Oryctolagus cuniculus: one gene and its partners. The protein of the gene in region 2 purifies or fractionates together with the protein of the main gene of each other region. This does not show direct contact. Links are inferred from orthologs where the notes say so. Each region holds a gene or a part of one and is shown on either strand. Other genes may lie near its edges.

Region 1 (3,986 bases), on a different chromosome or scaffold from region 2:
CAGCGGTATCGCCACATCCTCGTAAGGCAGCTTGTCTTCCCGCCAAGCGTCGTCGATGAGATCCAAGATCCTTCCATCCCGCTGCACCTCACTGTCCATGTTCCCGTGGCTTTGATCTCGGCGGAGCCGGACGCCAAGGGGTTCCTTCTGAAACGGGACGGCAGGAAAGATGTGGACTTAGCACCAGCACTGCCCAGGCATTCCCGAGCCTCCCGTGAAGGCAGGAAGAGGTCCTCTTCCAGGCGGTCAAGTGACAACTTAAAAACCAGAGTTCCTGCGCCCGGTCAGCCGACAAACGCTGTGCAGTGAGCGCCTCTGGACAGACTCATCCATCCGTCTGCACCTGCCCCGATTCAAACCTCAGCACAGGAGCGCACTGCACGCGCTCAGCTCACACCTTAGGACGTGGCCAGGACAGGCCTGCCGCAAGGCCTCAGGCCAGGGACGGCGAGAGCGTCGGAAAGCTTGCTTCCTTCCTAAAACAGTGGCCCGGCCGAGCTCCGAGAGGGGCACCTCCAGGTGAGCAACTGGGGCATCCCAGGCTGCTCCCCCACTCTGAGACCAGGGTATCTCCATCCCGCCCCCCTCAGCGACCATGGTATCTCCCCACTCCCCCTTCTCAAGGACCATGGTATCTCCCCTCCCATCCCCTCTCCCCATGCTCTTCAGTGAGGATGGTGTCTCCCTGCCCCCTCTCAGGGACCATGGTATACCCCCCTCAGTAACCACGGTATCTCCCCCCCGCCCTTCAGTGACGATGGTGTCTCCCTCCCCCCTCTCAGGGACCATGGTATCTCCCCACTCCCAGCTGCACTCAGTGCACAGATGCCTCCTGCCAGCCTCATTGTCCCCTGAGCAGCTGCAACCTCATGCAGAGGCCTGGCTGGCAGGTTCCCTCATCGCTAGCGTTCCTCCACGTTAATCCCAACGGCCCGCACTCCACTGGACCAAAGGCGCCCTCAGGCCCTCCCGGCATCTGACACTGCGGAGGCGCACACAGAAAACCTCGGCGGGCGGCGGGATCCCACTCCATCCACGGGCCTCTGCTCTCCTAACAGCAAGACGGCTCCTAACCCCTGGACCGTAATTCTACCCGCGTCGGGGTGCGGAGAGGTTTCTAACCTCGGTGAACGGGCAGAACTGCGGCAAAGGCGCTCCTTCCGCTACCAGCAAGCCGCGTGGGGCCCCAAGGCTGGCCCAGGACCACGCGGCGACTCGTTGAAGGAGCCTGTCTTCAGGGCTCCTGAGGCTCAGGTGCAGTTATATGCGGTGCAGTCTGTCCCCTTTGCTGGTTTTCCCAGGCCCTCGCAGAGCCCCCTCCTATAAAAGCTTCCGGAGACCTCGGTCCTGACTCATCCAGACACAAGCGAGCTCAGCTCTGCGGCCCGCGGCTCGGGCACGCCTGTCTGGCTGCAGGTGCAAATCCTGCACCAGGATCCCCCAGCAGGTCTCTTCCACCTGTCCGCAAACACCGCCCGCCCAGTCCCACTCTCCCGCTCTGAAATCCTGCCCCTAGCGCCTCTGCATCAGACCTCGCCTTCCCCGCTGGCCTGCAGTCTGGCGACTTCAGGTGAACCCACTGCATGCAGGGAATGGTGTCCGGGCTAGGTTGCCCCCCGCCCCGGACCCGGACCCCAGACCCAGGACTCAGGATTAAATCACCACCTCTACAGCAAGGCTAGGCTCCGTTCTGCATGCCTCACGGGAACCCCGGCCCTGATCAACAAATTCCCGTCACACCACTCTCCGCACCGGCCAGAGGGCCACCGCTGACCAGTGTGCCAACCAGCCCTACTTGTCCTGGGGGCGCCGTGCCTGGCGCCAACAAGGGAGACAGACAGTGCGTGCCTTCCCTGCGACAGGGGCACGTCTTGTCCATCTCTGTCTCCCAAAGCTTTGTGACTAAGCATTTACACGATCAAAGACAAAACACCACCCCAGCTTTTCTGTGGCGCTACAAATGACCCTCGCAGGCCACCGTACCGGGAAGGCCAACCCACAACCACGGCTTCCGGCCCGAGGCGGGCGCTACCAACTGGGGAAACCAGGAGGGGGAGGTCTGGGGCCGCCACGTCAGGGCCTTCCAGCCCGCCACACTCCAAGGGTGAGGTGAAGGCATCGGCCGCGGCCGCTGCACTCGACCCCGTCACACCAAGACCCGCGCCACGAACGCAGGAAACTCTTACCAGCACCCGGCCCAAAGCAGCAGCGCTTCCTCCCGGCCACACCCCGGCACCACGTGACCCGTTCGCCCGTCTCCCAGATCCCCGGATGTGGGTGAGCCCATTTATGCGCGCGGAGGGGCGGTCCGGGTTGGGGGGGGGGTGAGGCGGCAGTGGGCGGAACGAACGTGTCGGCGGCAGAGGGAGGACGTAAGATCGGCGGCGCCGCGCGTGCGCGGGCCCGTCCCGAGGTAACGACGGGAAGGCCACGGGCGCGCTCGCGGCGGCCGCTGGGTAACCGCCAGTGGGGACCTAGGCCCCTGCGAGGGGCGGGCGTGTCCTGGTCCGGAGGCCCTGGCCAACCTGGTGCCCCCAGCCGCGCGGCCGCATGGCCCGGGACTGGCTTCTGCAGCAGCCCGCCGGCCACCAGGGGCGCCCCTCGGCCTGCCCGCCCACGCCTTGTGGCCCCGCGAAGGCGGCCGTGGCCCAGTCCGCGGTGGCGTGCGGCCCTGCGGGGAGGTCAGCCGTGGCCCGCAGGCCGGCCGGAGGGGGGTCGCGGGCTCGGGCGCCGCTGCGTGGAGTGCTCCCTGCGCGGGGAGGCTGCAGGGTGGCGTCGGCGGGGTTGGAGGAGGCAGGCCGCCCTCGACGTTCATATTCACATAGAAGGAAATGGCTTGGAGCGGTTGCTCAGTAACGCCCTACACGACCAGGCTCCTGGGGCTGGATCTGCGGTGCCCTGGCGGCCCTGGGACAGTGGCGGAAGCTCCTGTTCGTTTAGGGCTGCACGAAGCAGCTTCCCCCGAGCCCAGGGTCGGACCCCCGATGTCGGCTTCAGACGCCCCGCGTTTGCACAGTTTTGCTCCCCGTGTAGTTTGAGTTTACGAAGAGGAAACCAGGAGCGACACGGGCTGCATACTGAATCTTTAACGGATGTAGCTTGGTGATCGAGTCTGTGTTCGCTTGCTCGGAAGGCGGTGCCCTTGGTTTTCCTGCTGAGCTCCTTGCTAGTTAGCAAGGCCCTGAAACTGGAATGGGCTAGAGATGTGTAACCACCTAGACACTGCCCTCTGCAGCCCGTGCGAGTCAAGTTCATAAACTCGCTTCTAAGGGTTGTTTAGGTCGATTAGTCCCCGCGCTCCTCTGTGTGGGCCACTCTCACGGCTACCTTCCTGCTCCGCACGCACGCTGTCGGCTTGCAAAAAGCAACATGGACCTCAAAGTTGCAGGCATTGAATTTCTGGTTTATGTTAGCCCTCCCCTCCGCCCCCAAGAGCTAGGTTGGTTTCTGCAGTTGCACAAAGCCACAGAACTCTCACACCTGTGGAGATCAGAATTCCCTACTGTGGGCCTCCGCGGGGCTCGGGTTTCTTCAGCTGCCCCATCCCTGTGTGTAGTTGATCCCAGGTCTCACCCCGAGATCTCCCTGTGTGCTTGACTGATAGACCTTTTAAATCCTACCTGCAAACGGCTCTCTGGCCTCTTTCTGCTGTTCTACACTGACCTGTTTGCCTCCCGAGGTGTGCTTGGGTCCCCTGGAATTGCACCTCCGCCTAGCCAGCTGCAGCGGGTACGCTGATTAACATGGCAGAGCACACAGTCCAGTTCTGCATTGCATAGTGCTTGGTACAGCTGCAGCTCCTCCCGTGGTTACTGTTTGAACAGTGCAGCTGTAAAATTGTTACATAATTGCAGAAGGTTCTTTTGAACAGCGGTAGAATCTACCTTTTTTTTTGGTGGGGGAGGAGGAAGATTCCATAGGTGATACATTGTACTTCCTATCGCATTCGTTTGCATTATCAGCGAGGAAGGAGTGTCTGAGTTTTG
Region 2 (3,886 bases):
AGTTTCAATTTTTTAAAAATTTCACTTGTTTACTTTTACTTAAAAGGCGCGCGTGGGGGGGGGGGGTCAGGGGAGGGGAGAAACAGACATGCGAGATCCCATCTGTCAGTTCATTCCCCAAATGCTCACACTGACCAGAGTTGAGAAGTCAGGCGAAAGCTGGTAGCTGGGAACTCCATCCCGTGGAAGCGGCAGGACTCAAGGGCCTCACAGGGTGCATGTTAGCAGAGTGCTAGGATCGTGGGTGGGGCCAGGACTCAAACCAGCACTCAGTCTAGGAAACAGGCATCCTGACCAGTGTCTTACCTGCTAGGCCAAATGCCTTTCCCCAATTTAATATTCTTGGTTTGACTTAGGAGAGTTCAGAGGTTGCAATCTCTGCATTATTTTCCATAGTCTGTCTTTAAGTATAAGTAGCTTTAAGTTACTGATGCAGCCCGCATCGCAGCTCACTTGGCTAATCCTTTGCCTGCAGCGCCAGCACATCGGGTTCTAGTCCCGGTTGGGGCGCTGGATTCTGTCCTGGCTGCTCCTCTTCCAGTCCAGCTCTCTGCTGTGGCCTGGGAAAGCAGCAGAAGGTGGCCCAAGTCCTTGGGCCCCTGCACCCACATAAGAGACCAGGAAGAAGCATCTGGCTCCTAGCTTCAGACTGGCGCAGCTATGGCCGTTGTGGCCAAATGGGGAGTAAACCAACAGATGGAAGACCTTTCTGTCTCTCCCTCTCACTGTCTTTAACTCTACCTCTCAAATAAATAAATAAATTATATATTTATGTAAATTTGTAGTATTTCAGGCAAAAAGGTAAATATATAAATAAGTTTCAAAACTAGCATCAAGTAGATTTTCTTAAAAAGATTTATTTATTTGGCCGGCGCCGCAGCTCACTAGGCTAATCCTCCGCCTTGCGGCACCGGCACACCGGATTCTAGTCCCAGTCGGGACACCGGATTCTGTCCCGGTTGCCCCTCTTGCAAGCCAGCTCTCTGCTGTGGCCAGGGAGTGCAGTGGAGGATGGCCCAAGTGCTTGGGCCCTATACCCCATGGGAGACCAGGAGAAGCACCTGGCTCCTGCCATCGGATCAGCGCGGTGCGCCGGCCGCAGCGTGCCAGCCATTGGAGAGTGAACCAACGGCAAAAGGAAGACCTTTCTCTCTGTCTCTCTCTCTCACTGTCCACTCTGCCTGTCAAAAAAATAAAATAAAATAAAATAAAAAAAAGAATGTAAAAAAAAAGATTTATTTATTTGGAAGGCAATGTTAGAGAGAGGGAGAGATGGACACAGACAGATTTTGCATTCATTGGCTCACTCCACAAATGGCTGCAATAGCCGGGACTGTGCCAGTCTGAGCTGGATCAGAAGTGGAGCAGCCGGGATTCCAACTGGTGTCCAGATGTTCTTTGTCAATGTTTTTCAGAATATGATAAGGGGCTGGCACTGTGGTACAAGAGGTGAAGCAGCTGCCTGTGATGCTGGCATCCCATATGAGCACTGATTGGAGTCCTGGCTGCTCCACTTCTGATCCAGCCCCATGCTAATGTGTCTGGGAAGGCAGTGAAAGACAGCCCACGTGCTTGGGCCCTGCCACACAAATGACAGACCTCGATGGAACTCCAGGCTTCTGGCTTCACCATGGCCCTGTTCCGGCAGTTGTGGCCACCTTGGCAGTAAGATCACTGCCACCAGTGGATGTAAGATCTGGATCTGTCTTTCTCTCTCTCTGTAATGCTGCCTTCCAAATAAATAATACTTAAAAAAAGAAAAAAAATGAGAAGACTATCCTTATGAGAGGGTCCTGGACATTGGTCAAAATGAGGATTCTTGTGCTATGCTAAGAATCTATACACAAGGCCCAGAAATATGTTACTATTATTTTTGATTTGTGAGAGCACTTGCATTCACTGGTTCACTCCCTAAATGACCACAATGGCCAGTACTGGAAAGGGGCTGAAGCTGAGAGCTGGGAACTCAATCTAGCTCTCCTTCACGAGTGGTGGCAACCCAAATACTTATGCTATCATGTGCTACCTTCAAAGTACACCATAGCAGAAAGGTGGAACTGGGAGTGAAGCTGAGCCTCGAACCCAGGTACTCTGCTATGGGATGCAGGTATCATTAACCTCTAGGCCAAAAGCCTGTCTATAAATGTGTATTTTAAAAAAAGCTCTTCAAGTGATTTTTGATGCTATTAGTCAAGCTCCTAATATTGACATGAATCTGATGAACTGCAGCTACCAACATGGCTTTATGCTTACAGCCCATACTGGATCTTGGCCAGCCAGTCTGTGTGCTCAACAGGATGGTGGATGACTGCATGTACACCTGGCTCTGGGGCCTTCAGGGGGCCAGAAGGGTCATCTCCTTGTTAAAGAGCAGGGTGATAGCTATTATTTTCTCTTAGACCCTCTCTGATGGGATGCTCTTTCTGTAGATTAATTATAGTAGGAAAAAATACCATGAACCTCCCACCAAGAAGAGGTAGATGGGTGCAAAGATAAGGCAAACTGGAGAAGGAAGCTAAAAGAATTGCTGGTTCTAGTGCCGGCTTCCTTTAACGTGGTCAAATAACTTAACTCTTCTGGATCTAAATAACTCTGGATGACCTCCTTGATTTCCAAAGTCTTTTTTTCAGCTCCTAAATTGTGACTATGGAGCAAGATTTGTTTTTAAAGATACTATTTTGAGATGGGAACAAGAGATGAAACGTAGAGCTGAAATCAGGACAAACTGATCTCAAATCCATTTAAAAGCTTCTTTACAATTAATATTCACTGCAGGTCTAAGGCAAATTATTCAGCAAAAAGCAGCATGAGATCACCTTCTAACATCTCTCCAGCTCCTTTGGGGTAGGTGAAAAGGGCTTTCCGTGGTGGGGCGAGGTCTGACACACTGAAACCAGATCCAGTGACAGAACTCCCACTGACCCCACCAGCCGAGGAGGACGACGACGAGGCAGCCATTTCCTCTCCAGGCGAAGGCTCACTTCACTACAGACAAGAAAAACAGCAATGGAAGCGCAATCAACAACATTTCATTCCACCGCAAGGGCCAGCATACAGTTTTGTACAGAACAGGTTCCCCTGTCTTCTACCTTTTCAACTCCCACAATCTTTTCGTTTTGAAGCCAAAGTATGTTTAAGAAGTCTGTCTACTGAAAAGACTACTTCCTGTGACCAGCAAACTGTGTGTCACTTGAGACTGACTGTGGGTGATTTACGAGTTATGAAGGGGAGCCATGGCAGGGCCAAGCACAAATCTGACTGTGGAAATTAAACCACCATCCTCCATAGGACAGTTTGTCTTGGACACACTCTGACCAAACCACACCAAGAAATTCACTTATAAAATTTTCCACATAAAATTTCAGAATAACACTGTGTTCTGTTCCCAAGGAAGGGAAAATTGGTTAGGAAATACGTATTGGCCCTTTCATTAAACATTTTTTTAACCTTTCCACCCAAATGTAGTACCGAAACTTATCACTTGGTGGCATCCCAAAACTGGAACAAAACAGCTCAGACAAGGATGCTGGAAATCCTGACCTGCTAGGAATACAGCAGCTGCTCGTGTTTAGTCCCTGTCATATCAAAAATTCAAATGTAAATGAGAAAATCTATACTGAAGACACGACTTTTTACAAAAGTTCAAAACAGGCACACTCTGTTTACTAGGATAAAGCTTGTGTGGCCCTAACGAAAGATTCTGAAGGGTATACTTAGTAGAAAAATGGTCTAGTACCATGCGGTCTCAGGGAAGGTTCTGCTGTGATGTTAAACGCTCTAATGTTCTATTTCTACACTGCCTCATACAGCAGTCACAGCCTCATGTACTGCCTATAAATTAGGATGATGGAAGAACTGTATTTAAAATTGTATTGGATGTTAATTA
Region 3 (3,886 bases), on a different chromosome or scaffold from region 2:
ACGGCGCCGGCCATAGAAAGACCATAATTTAACATTTCTTGAGTAAATATCCAACAACGAGAATCCTATTCAATCACTCTCTGGAGAGCTGGAGAGGACTTTTAAAAAACTAAAGCTATAGGAGCAAGTGCTTGGCACAGGGGTTAAAGAGCTGCCTTGGGTGTCCATATCCTGGACTTGAGTCCTGGCTCCACTCTGATTTCCGCTTTCTGCCTCTGCACAACATGGGAGACAGCAGCGGATGGTTCAAGTAGCTGGGTCCCCGCCTCCCCCGTGAGATGTGTGGATTGAGTTTCCAGCTCCCAGGCATTTTAGGGAGTGAACCAGTGGATGGCAGCTCGCTCTCTCTCAAATAAGGTAAACTTTTAAGAAACAAATCAAAATTAAAAAAATAAATAAAGCTATGTAACGATATGGCCAAGATGGAGAACTACTAGCCTGCACATCAGGCCCTCCATGAACGCAGGTAGAGAATGATCTATACCTAGAATGGCATCCAGGGCTAAAGGGCACTGCCGCAGCACCTCCTTATAGCTGGTGACTGAAGGGCGCTCCTGACCAGCCTTCTTGTACAAATTTGCCAGCATCATGTTTATCTGTATAAAAAAATAAAATAAAGGACAGCAAGTTACATGCATAGTGCCATGAAAAAGTCCTGTTTTTTACTACCAGATACTCTACTGTTTTTTTTACTGGACAACCTACCACAGCCTTCTACAAATAAACAAAGAACAAGCCCATTCATCAAAATGAAGAAGAAACTACTACACTTTCTTTTCCTAGGTACTCCCATCTCTAAGAGGAAAGTCTCATTACCCTCTCACTTACCTAACCAAGAGGCCCAGTATTACCCTGGCCAAAGATGCTGCCTCTGGAAACAAGAACTGCATTCATTTGAGGAATGTCCTAGAATTCTAGTTACCATGATTCTTTTTTGATCTTAAGATAGAGGATGAACTACCCCAAACTGCTAAATTCTGTACATTTTAAATTGAATTACTATTAAGGGATAAGAAAATGAGGACCTGTTAACATAGCTAGTTAAGAAGAATCAGACACATTCTCCCCAGAGGAAATGACAGATAGAGAGGTGTGATACTTGGCTTCTCCCTGACAATGAGACCAATGGCTGGACTCTACCCTAACACTTAAAGCTCTGACATGTGGGTACTATCTGACTCACCAAAGTAACACTATAAAAACCAGATTCAAACTGACCTCCAGAGGCGATCCATGATTAGATATATGATTTAAATCCAGAGTGCAGACATCTGTTTTTTGGCACAATTTAAGTAGATAACTTTGGGGCCAGCATTGTGGTGCAGCAGGTTCAACTACGACTTGTGAGGCTAGCAGCTCACACAGTCCAAGTGCTTGGGTCTCCACCCATGTGGGAGACCAGATGGAGCTCCTAGCTCCTGGCCTTGGCATGGCCCAGGTCTGACTGGCAGCCACTTGAGGAGTGAACCAGCAGATGGAAGATCAGTCTGTTTCTCTCTCATTCTTAGTCTTTTTCTCTGTCACTCTGCCTTTCAAATAAATACATACTTACAAAAATAGACAGATACATATTTAGTAAAACTATATCAATGCTAATTCTCTGTAAAAACCACAGCAGGAAGAATTTGAGGAAATCTCAAAGTTCCAAAGAATGTAGAAGTTACAGAGAAGGGATAAATGATCTCACTAGTGCAAAGAGAAGACAATGTTCCAATTTTAAATTAATAGATCTTAAATATAGAAAGTGTTTGGCAGATCATTAACTGAAGGAAGCAGTCAACATGAGGGCACAAAAGAAAAAAAAAGTCAACCGCAATCTCTTCAGTTATCTGTGGTTCTGCATGCCAGACATTTCCTCAAGGGGTAAACACTCTGAGGATTAAGAACATCTCTTCTCATCAGAGACCTGCATTAGATTAAACAATCCAGTACAGAACTAATCCACACTAATTCAAACAGTAAAGTAATGAAATACTAGAAACAGAAGATTTTCACTTGGCCTCAGATTTTCCATTTTAGGCTATTTTGAAAATGCAAAGGAAGGTACTTAAAGGAAAACTCCAGTATCGGTGTCAATATTAAAAAAAAAAAAAAAGTTGAATTTAAGATCGTTTCTTGACTACTTGTTATTAAAAAGCTATGACAGATGGACCGGATGTTTGAACATCAGAATTTCCTTTAAGCTACTTGACCATCACTGAAAGAATGAGTTCTGAGTACTACTTAGTGAAAAAATCAATTTTCTTAAAAGGTAATTGTTATCTGGGACCATCATAAAGCCACATTTCACCAGCTATAAACTCAAGCAGTCATCATTTTCCAAAAACTAAGTGAGACATTGTACGTTTACTCTTGAAAATTTACCAAGATACAATAATCTTAACACTGGAATTTTCCTTTAACTTATGAGGGAATGTGTGGCGGTGTTTACCATACATTAACAGATGTTCAATTAGACGTATTTTTGACTCACTTCCTTGTCCTTTACACAGACTGAGAAGCCAGTTAACTCCCTAACAGACAAGAAAGAAAAACTGTAAATATTTTAGGTTTATGTTTGAGGCACACATCTTTGTTTGCTCCTGACTACAAGAGTTCAACTGAGAGAAGAATCTGCCCTCCTAACACACAGACTCCTCGAGCCCCTCCTGAAGTGATGGCTGTAGACATTAAGAACTGGGTACCACAAAGCTGAGCTGCTTTGCCAGTAACCCACTTTCTAAAAATGTCCTTCCAAAGCTGGCAAGTCACTGAGGAAACCATGGCACATTTCTAGTGAGACAAGCAACAGTTCATTCAAAATTATCAAAATGGCTTCTTCCAAAAGGAAGACATCTTGAGCATAGGAACAGACACAAAAATTCTGAGGGTAAGAAAAGACTTTTAGACGTTACAACAACACAATTTACTATACAGGACCCAAATACAGTTCCAAGTATTTTTATTAGCAGTAACCTTCATAAATTAGATGGAAGAAATAACTTAAATTTTAAAAACTTAGAAAATAGTAAATAATTCCTTAATACAAGGAAGTCTAAAAACACAGTTCTCAAGAAGTTCTGCTATTTTTAAAATTCAGCAACACTTGAATAAAGCAGCAGTAACTAAAATGCCCCAGATCCCCCTTGCTTAGATTCCTTGCCTTGTAAGGGCAGGAGGATGAACACAAACATCTTACCTGGAAAATTCCTTATTGCTAAGCACAAGCGCCACAGAACAGTTTTTCAATAAAATAAGAAGGGCAGGAGATATGAGTATATGTTAGAGTATTAAATATTGATATGAATTTGAACCTATGAGTAGATTCTCACTGTTCTTCTAAAATGGATTAAAAAAAAAAAAAACTGATGCCCAATATATTATGCCAGGCACTGTGGTGCAGCGGGTTATGCCACCCCTTCGGTCACGCACATCTCATACTGGAGTGCCTGGGTTGGAGTCCCAACTACTCTGTCCAACCTGGGAGGCAGCAGATGGCCCAAGTATTTGAGATCCTCCCACCCACACTGGAAACAGATGGAGTTCCTGACTCCTGGCTTCATCCTACCCAGACCTAGATGTTGCAGGTATTTGGGGGGTAAACCAGAGGATGAAGGATCTGTCACTCTATCTTTCAAATAAAGAAAGCTTTAAAAAGAAAAAGAAAAAGATGTCCAATATATTTGACACCAGGTTCAGGTGTCTACTTGTTTCCTGCTTAGGAGAATGGCTCTAGTAATTGGGTTCCTGCCATCCACAGGAAACTGGGATTGAGTTCCTGGCTCTCTGGGATAGTTTCTGGCAGCCAGCTTTGCTGTCCCTTCCCCACCCACTGTGGGCACCTGAGGAGTGAACCAGGAATAAGAGCTATGTCTGTCTCTTATAGTAAAAAAATACTATTATCCTG

What was found.
Region 1: the proteins of ANAPC16 (region 2) and ANAPC13 purify together in Homo sapiens (affinity purification with mass spectrometry; 3 studies listed by BioGRID and IntAct, counting the BioPlex papers as one, with this or other methods). This does not show direct contact. The link is inferred for Oryctolagus cuniculus from reciprocal best matches to the Homo sapiens genes ANAPC16 and ANAPC13.
Region 3: the proteins of ANAPC16 (region 2) and ANAPC7 purify together in Homo sapiens (affinity purification with mass spectrometry; 6 studies listed by BioGRID and IntAct, with this or other methods). This does not show direct contact. The link is inferred for Oryctolagus cuniculus from reciprocal best matches to the Homo sapiens genes ANAPC16 and ANAPC7.

The regions. Positions count from the first base shown.
Region 1 is NC_091435.1:146,958,583-146,962,568, reverse strand, and holds the start of ANAPC13 (anaphase-promoting complex subunit 13), read right to left. Parts: upstream 2,392-3,986; 5' UTR 2,187-2,391; exon of another isoform or gene 2,146-2,186; intron 2,008-2,145; exon of another isoform or gene 1,123-2,007; intron 148-1,122; 5' UTR 100-147; coding exon 1-99. Other genes in the region: CEP63 (centrosomal protein of 63 kDa), read left to right, coding at 2,551-2,681. UniProt on the Homo sapiens protein: Component of the anaphase promoting complex/cyclosome (APC/C), a cell cycle-regulated E3 ubiquitin ligase that controls progression through mitosis and the G1 phase of the cell cycle.
Region 2 is NC_091446.1:63,342,896-63,346,781, reverse strand, and holds part of ANAPC16 (anaphase-promoting complex subunit 16), read right to left. Parts: intron 2,986-3,886; 5' UTR 2,959-2,985; coding exon 2,817-2,958; intron 1-2,816. UniProt on the Homo sapiens protein: Component of the anaphase promoting complex/cyclosome (APC/C), a cell cycle-regulated E3 ubiquitin ligase that controls progression through mitosis and the G1 phase of the cell cycle.
Region 3 is NC_091452.1:8,069,457-8,073,342, forward strand, and holds part of ANAPC7 (anaphase-promoting complex subunit 7), read right to left. Parts: intron 2,514-3,886; coding exon of another isoform or gene 2,474-2,513; intron 597-2,473; coding exon 485-596; intron 1-484. UniProt on the Homo sapiens protein: Component of the anaphase promoting complex/cyclosome (APC/C), a cell cycle-regulated E3 ubiquitin ligase that controls progression through mitosis and the G1 phase of the cell cycle.